Coturnix japonica: one gene and its partners. The protein of the gene in region 1 binds, or shares a complex with, the protein of each later gene. Links are inferred from orthologs where the notes say so. Each region holds a gene or a part of one and is shown on either strand. Other genes may lie near its edges.

Evidence for each region. Proteins that work in one complex are often made in the same cells at the same time.
Region 2: the proteins of TOMM5 (region 1) and VDAC2 are in contact, whole or in part, in a cryo-EM structure (PDB 9EII), measured with the Homo sapiens proteins. The link is inferred for Coturnix japonica from reciprocal best matches to the Homo sapiens genes TOMM5 and VDAC2. Residues at the interface, in NP_001001790.1 of Homo sapiens: Ile25, Arg29, Leu32, Ile33, Ala36, Arg39, Val40, Phe43, Ile44, Lys47; in NP_001171752.1 of Homo sapiens: Val38, Thr60, Gly63, Asp239, Tyr258, Gln260, Thr261, Leu262, Leu268, Leu270, Val286, Leu288.
Region 3: the proteins of TOMM5 (region 1) and PINK1 are in contact, whole or in part, in a cryo-EM structure (PDB 9EII), measured with the Homo sapiens proteins. The link is inferred for Coturnix japonica from reciprocal best matches to the Homo sapiens genes TOMM5 and PINK1. Residues at the interface, in NP_001001790.1 of Homo sapiens: Met1, Phe2, Arg3, Ile4, Gly6, Leu7, Ala8, Lys10, Leu11, Asp12, Pro13, Glu14, Met16, Lys17, Arg18; in NP_115785.1 of Homo sapiens: Gln484, Ala488, Gln491, Ser495, Lys496, Pro498, Val502, Lys520, Leu522, Lys523, Leu524, Met527, Glu565, Cys568, Gln569, Ala571, Leu572, Leu573, Cys575, Ser576, Trp577, Ala579, Ala580.

What each region holds. Positions count from the first base shown.
Region 1 is NC_029547.1:66,690,189-66,693,701, forward strand, and holds TOMM5 (mitochondrial import receptor subunit TOM5 homolog), read left to right. Parts: upstream 1-1,325; 5' UTR 1,326-1,429; coding exon 1,430-1,550; intron 1,551-2,439; coding exon 2,440-2,474; 3' UTR 2,475-2,914; downstream 2,915-3,513. Other genes in the region: CEP120 (centrosomal protein of 120 kDa), read right to left, coding at 229-385, 1,148-1,199.
Region 2 is NC_029521.1:12,479,966-12,483,710, forward strand, and holds the start of VDAC2 (voltage-dependent anion-selective channel protein 2), read right to left. Parts: upstream 2,434-3,745; 5' UTR 2,335-2,433; intron 2,180-2,334; exon of another isoform or gene 2,047-2,179; intron 1,660-2,046; 5' UTR 1,639-1,659; coding exon 1,605-1,638; intron 1-1,604. UniProt on the Homo sapiens protein: Non-selective voltage-gated ion channel that mediates the transport of anions and cations through the mitochondrion outer membrane and plasma membrane.
Region 3 is NC_029536.1:4,265,014-4,268,758, forward strand, and holds the start of PINK1 (serine/threonine-protein kinase PINK1, mitochondrial), read left to right. Parts: upstream 1-1,235; coding exon 1,236-1,253; exon of another isoform or gene 1,254-1,497; intron 1,498-1,701; coding exon 1,702-2,088; intron 2,089-2,881; coding exon 2,882-3,148; intron 3,149-3,392; coding exon 3,393-3,496; intron 3,497-3,745. UniProt on the Homo sapiens protein: Serine/threonine-protein kinase which acts as a sensor of mitochondrial damage and protects against mitochondrial dysfunction during cellular stress.

The sequences.
Region 1 (3,513 bases):
GCCAGCAGGAGCAGAGAGGTGATCATCTCTCTGTACTCAGCTCTGGTGAGGCCTCATCTCAAGTATTGTGCTCAGTTTTGGACCCCTCACTGCAAGAAAGACATTGAGGCCCTGCAACGTGTCCAGAAAAGGGCCACAAAACTGGTGAGGGGTCTGGAGTACAAGTCTTATGAGGAGTGGCTCAAATTTATTAACAAATTTATTTCAGGCTTCGCTTTCTGCTGTTACCTGTGCTGATGAAGTGCTTTTCGATCAAGTTCCCAGGCCAATTCAGTGGCAAACTCTGGCTGATCAGTATGCTCCACAGGATCAGTAGCCAGCTGTTCTCCATCAAACTTTGCTTCAACTACAAGCATGTGCTTGGGTCGTTTTGGAAAACAGCGTCCTGAAACAGAGTGTGATTACCAGTCACCACAAACAGAACAAGTGAGCTCAGATCCTTATTGCAAACTAATTACAATTTTTATTGTAATTGCAATATTGTAATTGCAAACTAATTACTAATTACTCTCCTACATTAAAATCACAGAATCACAGAATCACAGAATGACCTGGGTTGGAAGGGACCTCAAGGATCATGTAGTTCCAACCCCCCTGCCTAGCAGGGCCACCAAACATACACATTTACTAGATCAGGTTGCCCAGGAGACCCCATAGAACCCCATAGAGACCCCATAGACCCCATAGATCCCCACAGAGACCCCATAGACCCCATAGATCCCCATAGAGACCCCATAGATCAGGTTGCCCATGGCCCCATCCAACCTGGCCTTGAACACCTCCAAGGACGGGGCATCCACAACCTCCCTGGGCAGCCTGTTCCAGGGCCTAACCACTCTCCTAGTGAAGAACTTCCTCCTAACATCCAACCTAAATCTTCCTTCTTTTAACTTAAAACCATTTCCTCTAGTCCTGCTATTATCAGCCCTTTCCAAGAGTTTACTCCCCTCCTGGGTGTAAGTTCCCTTCAGGAATTGAAAGGCTGCAATGAGGTCACCCCACAACCTTCTCTTCTCTAGGCTGAGATAACGTTCCTCTGCTCATCATTTTCTGCTCTCCAATATCTTGGGCCCCACTGAAGGAAACAGGCTGCAGAGACAGGCAACAAGCCAGCAACTACAGCAGGGCTGAAGCTTTAATGGCTTACCTTCCAGCACAGCAACAACGATCAGCAGTCTGTCTGCAGCTCTGGACACCATCGTGGGTCCGACCACAGCGCTGCCACGGCGACAAGCGGCAGCCCCGCCACCACAGCCCGGCTTCTCCCGCTCCAAGCGCCGCGCTGCCGCCTCACAACGGCGGCCCCTCCTCCTGACGGGGTGTGACGTCCCTTCCGTCGCAGCTTAGTGTCGTCAGCCACTCGTATTTCCCTTCCTCCGCTCCCGGCCCCGCTCGGTGACCGGCGCGGTGCGGCGGTGTGTGGAGCAGCATGTTCCGTATCGAGGGGCTGGGGCCTAAGATGGACCCGGAGGAGATGAGGAGAAAGATGCGGCGAGACGTTCTTACCTCCGTCCGTAACTTCTTCATCTACGTGGCGCTGCTGCGGATCAGTGAGTGTGCGGGGATGGGGCTGCGGCCTGAGGGGCTGCGCCCGGAGCTAGGCCTGGATCTAGGCCTAGAGCTAGGCCCGGAGCTAGGCCTGGATCTAGGCCTAGAGCTAGGCCCGGAGCTAGGCCCGGAGTTAGGTCTAGAGCTGGGACTAGAGCTAGGCCCAGAGCTAGGCCCGGAGCTAGGCCCAGAGTTAGGCCCGGAGTTAGGCCTGGAGCTAAGCCCAAAGTTAGGCCCAGAGTTAGGCCGGAGCTAGGCCCGGAACTAGGCCCACAGTTAGGCCCGGAGCTAGGCCCAGAGTTAGGCCCGGAGCTAGGCCCAGAGTTAGGCCCGGAGCTAGGCCTAGAGTTAGGCCCGGAGCTAGTCCTAGAGTTAGGCCCGGAGCTAGGCCTAGAGTTAGGCCCGGAGCTAGGCCTAGAGTTTAGGCCGCGAGCTAGGCCTAGAGTTAGGCCCGGAGCTAGGCCTAGAGTTAGGCCCGGAGCTTAGCTAGGCTAGAGTTAGGCCCGGAGCTAGGCCTAGAGTTAGGCCCGGAGCTAGGCCTAGAGTTAGGCCCGGAGCTAGGCCTAGAGTTAGGCCCGGAGCTAGGCACAGAGTTAGGCCCGGAGCTAGGCCCACAGTTAGGCCCGGAGTTAGGTCTAGAGCTAGGCCCGGAGCTAGGCTTGGAGTTAGGCCGACTTAGGCCCAGAGATAGGCCCGGAGTTAGGCCTAGAGCTAGGCCCGGAGTTAGGCCTAGAGCTAGACCCAGAGCTAGGCCTGGAGCTAGGCCCAGACCTAGGCACCGAGCTAGGCCTGGAGCTAGGCCTAGAGCTAGGCCCGGCCGGACACCTGCATTGCCCAAGCCATTCTCCGTGTTCACCACCAGACACTGACATTGTGTTGCTCTCTTTTCAGCTCCCTTCATCCTGAAGAAGCTGGACAGCGTGTGAGGGCTCCGCGAGCTGCACGGAACACTCGGCTTCTGAAAACACGAACTGCTTTCCTTTCATCATTAGCTCAACGTCGTTCCAGAGGCAGGCATCCGATCCTAAATGTTCTTTAAAATAGCCATGTAGGCGTGTTCGAGTGATAACGTGGTGGGGGATGTGGGGCAGGTGTGTGTTCTCTGTGCAGGTACTCACAGAGCACTCCGCAGCATCAGTAGTGTTACAATGGAACGTTTCTGGTCCTCCTGTAAAAAATTGTTCATCTTTTCTCATGAAGTTTGAAGTGCTAACAAGTCGCTTTGTTGTGCACCTACCTCTAAACTGCGGCGTGCTGTGGCTATCAATGTTACCGAACCTGTCTGTAAAATTATGTTGTTATTGAATCCAGTGCAGAGGGAGTTTGATTTTAAATAAATGGGAGAGCAGTTCTGTCACATCACAAACTACTCTGGTACTGACTTATTTCTGCTGACGACCAAAGTAGAGGTTCTTTGGTAATATTTCCCTGGCTTTCTAAGGCTTACACCCTCCAACTTCGGTATCAGTCTGTATTGAAGAAAAACAAAGGAAAATGAGAAAGATGAGCAAGATGATTATGTATTTTTCTAGTTTCTAAATAATGTAGTTTCTCACATGTGTAGACAAGACTCAGAAATAAAAGCAGAAAGGGTTGGCTGTGTGTTATCCTGCAGGTCTGTGCTAGTTTGCCATTCCATTAGAGCCTCATGGATATTGCTTTTATGCAAGGTAAAGCATGAGCAAGGCTGCACTGCTGTAATCTGTGAACGATTAATGGGATTTTAAACACAGCAGATTTTCATGACTGTGATGCAAGTCTTAGAGATGGGAATAGCCCCTGTTAGGGGTCAAAAAAGGAGACCTCATCATTTGACTTGCAAGTGACTCTCTTCTGAGGGAAATAAAGGGCCCAGTGTGTTGGCTGCACCCTTCTAGTAGGGAAGTGTGCTGCAGCTCTGGGGCTTTGGTCAGGGACATCAGGAAACTTCCTGGTCTGGATCACTCCTCTTATCATTGTCCCTTC
Region 2 (3,745 bases), on another chromosome or scaffold:
TCATCCAGGCTTAGCTTAGTTTGAAAGAAAAACCAAGAACCTCTTCAGCAAGAAACGCTAAACTCTACACAGAAGTCAGTAAAGGAATCAACCCAGCACCTGCTGGGGAGTATAAAACAAATCCGTTCTTGCGAGGAGTAAACTCTTAAAAAAATAAATAATAATATAAGCCTAAGGAAAAGATGATTCAATAGCAGAAACAGATGTGAGTCCCAGTGATGAGACAAAATGGTTTCTATGATTTATTCAATAAAAAGTAACAGAAGCAGGACAAAACTTGAAGAAAGTGTGGGAGCACTGGTCTTCTCTCACTCCAAATCCCTGGTGTCCAGTTCATTAGTAGCTTAAAAGGGCTTTGAGAAGTTTCAGCTATGTACTCTTCCTCTGAGTAGGTCCAACTACCGTCTCCAGAAGAATAATTATTACTAGTTCAGAAGTATCAAAATGCATGTCTGTGCTTAAGGCTACTACATATAAAAATATATGACTGTATGTATAAACTTCTTTCATCTTTAATGTTCCCAAGCTGACTAGATATTCATCATAGACAAGAGATTTATGCTAAGGCCCTAAAGTTTAAAAAATAATATTTTTAATTGCCTGTAACTAAATGTGTGGAATTACTGCAATAAAAGGATACTGCTGTTTTTATCAGGCCAAGTTAAGCATCCTCCCTACTGCAGGAAACTGACTAATCCTTGTCAGCCATTCCAGCCTACAGGCCCAGGTTTCCTGATAAGGAGTTAAAACAGCTTATGACCTTCACGTTGCTGTTTCAATTCATACGCTGACAGGGACACAAGAGGAAAAAGCAGATGTTATTTGGGGGTACATAAAACACCCCGTAAGCCGGGGTCACCACCAGAAAGCTCTTTAAAGGCCAAAATATATCAATTCTGTTTCTTCCAGTGTTGAAAAATTCACTAGATTTGCAAATCCTTATGATGAGAAGCAATTTTATTCGAGCATGTTTTGAAGCGTCTTTCATCTTCTTACTAATTAGAAGCACCTAAAATAAAGCTACAATTTAATTACAAGCCTGTTGTGACAGTAGATATCAAATATCCTAATTTCAGGAACATAGAAAATACTTATTTCAGGTAAGCATCCCACTTTTTCTTTTTATCCCCCTTTCTATATAGACCTAAAAGAAATAATCTGCTACTTAAATATACTTTCTTCCAAAGCAAAAAGAAAATGAAATGCCAAGATGTGTGAAGGCTGTCACAAGTATTACATCACAGCTTTCTTTCGAGGCAATACTTGGAAAGAGCCCCACACTTAGTAATTAAGGTATGCCAGTGGCTTCAATAACCATTTCCAGACCTCAGGACATTGAGGATCAGCCTAGAGGGCACAGAATTAGGAACAAAATACTTAAGTATTATGTATTAAAATATATAATATTTTTATTATATAAACTTTTATATATACTTTTAAACGGCAACAACTAAAGTGAAATTGTATCCTATCATTGAAAATAGCAATAAACCGATACTGAAAATACCGTTAAAAACATGTCCGATCTAACGCTGACCTCCTTTACGCTTACGGAGCTACTAAACGAGAACTACTACCCTCGCTGTAACTACCTCCCTACTTACACCTCGACGCCTGGCACGCGGACGACGTAGCCATAGCTAGGCCAATGCACAGACTCTACGGAGAAGGGAGAGAGAGTCAAACAGCGCTCGGTTCGCTCCGTGCTCACAAAACCGAAGCAGCGCGGATCCCCTCTCGCTACGGGCCGGGCCGCGCGGCGCCCGCTGCCGCCGCAAGGTGAACGCTCCGCGCGGCCATCTTGGGCCTCGCGCCTGACCCCCGGCGCTACGGCCGCCCCTTATGTAACCGCAGCCCGGGCACGGCCGAGGCCATCGCGGGCGGCGGAGCGTCCCGACCCCGTCCCGATCCCCCCACACCCCGTCCCTCCCGACCGCCCCCAGCGGGACAACGAGGAACGCGGCCCCGGCCCCGCTCACCGCCCTTCGCTCGCGCCCCACCCGCCTCCCCCGGCACCGCGGGACGAGCCCAGCCCCGGGCCGGCACCTGGCGAGCGCGAGAGAGCGGCGGGGCCGGGCGGAGCGGGACCGGGGGCGCGGGCGGGTCTGGCCGTGAGGAGGCCGCGCTGCTGCAGCCGCTGGCACTGGAGGGCGAAGTGAAGGAGACACCGATCCGCCCGCCCGCCGCCGCCCCGCAGGACCCCGGTCAGAAGGGGCCGTCCCGCGAGGTGCCCGTCCCCACGGAGCGCCCCGCGCGCCCGTCCGCCCGACCCGAGAGACCCCCAGCGCGGGCACACACGGGAACACAAGGCTCCAGCCGTGAGAAACGCCGTACCCTCAGCGCGGAGCCGGGATGGAGCGACGTGGGCCGGCAGGCGCTAATTCCGGCAGCCCCAGAGGCGGAGACGGGTCCTCGTGAGAGGGCGGGGCCTGCGCGGGAGGGCGGCAACGGCCGCGCCTGGAACCCGCGACGCGTCCGCCGCTCAGCAGAGCGGGTGCGGCCCTGCAGCGCGCGGGGCGGAGCGAGGCCTCGGGCGGCTCCTCAGTCCAGCGGCCCGCACGAGGGAAGACCCGTACACCGGGTGCAGGCCCTGCGAGCCGCCCGCCTAACTCAAGTAGAAACTTCCGCCCCGTAACGGTCACCAGCCACAGCACAAGTGGGCACAGGCCCAGCCTCCTTAAAAGTACTCAGTCAGAACCCGTCAGAAAAGTGAAAGCGAGTCAAATCATATTCGAATCACATGAAATACACGTTAACAAGCACTACTGGTTTCCTCCAACACATGGTACGGCAGCCGTTTTCTTTTTTTTTTCAGCCGTTACTAAAGCAGGCTGACCGGCAGTAAATTCCAACTGCCCATCAGCATCTAGTTCTGTTTTAGGTTGGATGTTAGGGGGAAGAACATGAATGTGGCATGAATTGTTCATAATACAAGTTCATTCTGAATAGAATTTCAGTTTCTTACATCAGAATGGTGGGGTGGCTTTTTTTTATATATATTAGTCATGGTCCGGCTTTATCATTTTAAAGCAATCCAGTGAAGTACTTACTGCCCCACCCTGAAGGAAGAAGTTCTGAATCACTTGCCTTGTGAAACAGTTTTGTCTGAGACCGCAGTACACAAAATCCCAGTGAATGCTGCTGTCTATCCATACATTATAATCATGATTACTTGAAGAAGACATGTATGTAACCAATAAAAAGACAGCTGTAGTGCTCACCAGTTTCCATCAGAGGTTTATATTCACTTCTAGGTCAAACCTGCAGTCATTATCTGTCCTTCTAAATTTGAGCCTTCAAAGATTAAAAATACAGTGGAAAAGAAACCTTAAGGTAAGCCTAACTGCATAAACAAGGGCTTATCCTGAAAAGGAACTGACCGATAGCATTCACCACAGATGGTAAAATTATAATCAGCAGAAAATAGGTGGGAAATAGTTAAAGTTAGCAGGAACCGAGTTCAGAAGCAGCAAAGCAGTGTTTGTTTTTCTACCAAAGGAGAAAACAGACCCATGCAGAAACCAATGCATTTAAATAAGTTGACATAGATGGATATCCAGGTAACCTCAGGGAAATGCCAGTGAATAAGCAGAAAGCCTGTGACTTCAGAGACTAGAGGGTAAGCCAAAGGCAAATTTAGGAAAGCCAATAAGGAAGCAAATGTTTGCAGGCCCTAGCAAGGCTGACAGAGACACAGAACCCCTTGCAGTTACCTAGATAACCAAAGCTAGATCCCCACAGTCCT
Region 3 (3,745 bases), on another chromosome or scaffold:
TCCCTTTCCTTTTTGGAATGCTTCCCTTTTGCTTTATGGGGTGGTGAGTGATGCTGGTGCTTCCCTATAGGATGCAACGTAGAGAATGCCTGCTACAGCCTTGGGATGTGCGCTGAGCGTGCAGCCATCCTAAAAGCCATCTCCGAAGGGCACACACGCTTCAAGGCCATGGCCATTGCCAGGTGAGGCCATTGGCACCCATGGCACCACATCACTCTATGGGTTTTAGGGTGATGCCCCATTTGGGTTTTGTTCAATCTCTTTGGGGTTTTGGCGTAGTGCTCCCTTTTGGGGTGCTGCCCACTTTGGGTTTTGGCTGATCGCTTTGTTCAATGGGGTGGTTCTCCCTTTGAGTTTTGGGCAGTCCCATTGGGTTTTGGGGAATCCCTTTGGGTTTTGGAGTGTTCCGCCCTTTGGATTATTGGCTATTCCTTTGGGCTTTGGGGAGGTACCCCCTTTGAGTTTGGGGTGATCCCTTTGCTTATTGGGATGGTTCTCCCTCTAATTCTGAGGCAATCTCTTTGGTTTGGGGGGTGATTCCCCCTTTGATTTTAGGGCATCCCCTTTGGGCTTTGTGGTGGTGCCCCCTTTGGGTTTTGGGTAATACCCTTTGGGGAGGTGCCCTATTTAGGTTCTGGGTGATTTCATTGGGTTTTGGGTGATCCCTTTCTTTTCCAGTGTGGTTCCACCTTTAGTTTTGGAGCGATCCCTTTGGGTCTGGGGGAATCTCTTTGGGTTTCTATGTCTGATTCCCTTTGGCTTTTGGGATGGAGTGATACTGAACCTGGTGTGGCTCTTTTGCTTTGGCAGTAACATGTCAGACTTCATCACGCCATGCGGGGCCTGCAGACAGGTGATGAGAGAGGTGAGTGGAGCCCCTGCCATGCTGGGGGCATGGAGGGCCACAAGGAGCTGCAGGCCACCATGGATGGGGGCCACCCCTCCATCTCTGGGCTGAACAAACTAAGGGAGCCCAGCAGTTGAGCTGAGCTGTGGGTGCTGCAGCATGGATTCCCTATTGACCCTCTCTCCTGCTTTTCTCCTTGTAGTTTGGCACAGACTGGGACATCTACCTGACCAAACCTGATGGCACCTACATTGTGAAGACACTACGGGAGCTCCTGCCACTCTCCTTTGGCCCCGAGGACCTGCAGAAGGCATGAACTGCACACCTGCATTTCCCTTTCAGCACCTTGGATCACTCCCCCTCTATGCAATTGACTCCATTGGGGACAATGGAGTTTGCTCCATGGGTGTTGCTTGGATCCAATGCAGCCCAACAGGGGATAAAAAGCAATATCAGCTCCAGTTCCCAGCATTATCCAGCAGCCATTTGTGCACTGTGTTCACCGTGCAGCCAATGTGATGCCACAGCTCCTTTTTTTAGCCTATTTTTCTCCTTTCTCTCTATATTTTTGCTTGCTTTCGTGAGGACAAAGAGCAATTCCTTGACAATGAAACAGCAATGGAACAAAACCCAATGACGTGTTACTTTAACGAGGCATGCTGTGCTCTGTGCCCTGTTGGACCATGCCCTGCGTGCTCAGTGCTGTGTGCACTATGCCCTCCATGCACTCACTGCACTCCATGCACCAATGCATGCTGCACCAATGCAACCTGCAGCAGCACCTTAAGCCCTCACCTTGCGCATGCGCATTGCGCATTACGCGCTTCCTCGTAGCCACGCCCCCTTCCTCATAGCCACGCCCCCTCCCCATAACCACGCCCACTTTCCCTGTAGCCCCGCCCCTTCCGCTTCCGCCTTCTTCCCGCCTCTTCCTGAGGCGCTCGGTGGCCGCCATGTTGTTTCGGGTGCTGTTATCCCGGGCCTACCGCCTGCTGCCCGGCCGCCGCCCCCTCCCCATCCCCGTCCCCCCTCCTGTCCCCTCAGCCGTTCCTCCATCTTCCCTCTTTTCCCGGCTGCCATTCGGCCGCTTCTTCTCCTTCAGACGCCCGGCTGGCCTAGCGGCAATGGCGGTGCGGAGGGTCCGGGCCGGGCCTTGTATGGCGTTGGCGTTGGGGCTGGCGCTGTTGGAGCCGCCGTTGGAGGAACAACGAAGAGCGAGGGCGGCGTGTGGCCGGATCCAGGTGTGGGGCTACGGGGAGGGGTTGGACGTGATGAGCTTAGTGGCCTTTTCCAGCCTTAGGGGGGTTCTGTTGTCCCCATGGTTACAGCCTGAATGGCAGCCTCTGGCTGCGGCTTTCGGTCTGTCTTTGTGTGTGGAATCGCTGTATTATTGGGTTGGAAGGGATCTCGGAGCCCATTCAGTACCAACCCGTGCTTTAGGCTGGTTGAAAATAAGGCCATTTTGCACTTAACAGTCACTTGGGCTTTCCTGGTTGATTAAAAGGCATTTTGCTCTTTCCAAGCACTCCAGCTTTCCTTTATTGTGCAGTCTTTGCAGAATCACAGAATGACCCGTGTTGGAAGGGACCTCAAGGATCACGTAGTTCCAACCCCCCTGCCTGGCAGGGCTACCAAACATACACCTTTACTAGATCAGGTTGCCCAGGGCCCCGTCCAACCTGGCCCTGAACACCCCCAAGGACGGGGCATCCACAACCTCCCTGGGCAGCCCGTTCCAGGGCCTAACCACTCTGCTAGTAAACAACTTTCCCCCTAACATCCAACCTAAATCTTCCCTCTTTCAACTTAAAACCATTTCCCTGTGTCCTGCTATTGTCAGCCCTTTTGAAGAGTTTACTCCCCTCCTGGGAGTAAGTTCCCTTCAGGTATTGAAAGGCTGCAGTGAGGTCACCCCGCAACCTTCTCTTCTCCAGGCTGAACAAACCCAACTCCCTCAGCCTGTCAATAAACTGAATAGTCTTGAATAAACTGAATGCTTTTCTCATTCCACTTTTCCTTCGTTTTTCCTTTCAGACGGTGTTTGTTGGGAAGAACAAGGCGCAGAAAGATCCGCTGAGCTCTTTGCGATGGCGGGGCTTTAAGCTGGAGGATTATCTCATCGGGCAGCCCCTTGGGAAGGGCTGCAATGCTGCTGTCTATGAAGCAACTATTCCTTCATCCCTCCATCGCCAGGGGAGCACACAGAGCTCAGCTCTGCCTGTGTCTGAAAAGGAGCCGGCAGATAAAAGCCAACAGCAAGCTGCCTTCCCCCTGGCTATCAAAATGATGTGGAACATCTCGGTAAGGAGTCAGCTCTTAACATCCTCCTTGTGTGTCTGGATATGCCCAGAGTTAGGTTACACAGGGCAACCTGATGTGGTGAGGGGCCACCCAGCCTACATAATGTCTTGGAACTGGATGATCTTTAAGGTCCTCTCCAGTCTAAGCCATTCGATAAGGACAAGACATTGAATGCCTGTTGTTAGTGACAAGTCACACAGCCAGTCATTATTCCTGTGGAGCTGACAGCACGTTGCTGTTGCAGGCTGACTCTTCAAGTGAAGGCATCCTGCGCAATATGCACCGAGAGCTCGTTCCAGCCACACAGACTGCTTTAGCTGGGGAATATGGAGCCATCTCCCATCGCAGGTACAGTATCCATCGCAATGACAGCTGTTCTCAGGGTATTATGTGCTAATTTGATCCAGCTTGATCCATCGGTTTCGTTCTGCAGCACGTCTGTGCTGTACAGAATGCAGCTGGAGGTTTCTGTGATATCTTATGGGAAGAACTGAGCATGAATCCTTGGGATTATTCCATGTGTGTGTGTGCCTTAGCTAAATGGCACTGCCTTTGTTGGTGCTGTATGCCTCAGTTGCCATGCAAGAGCACGCTTCT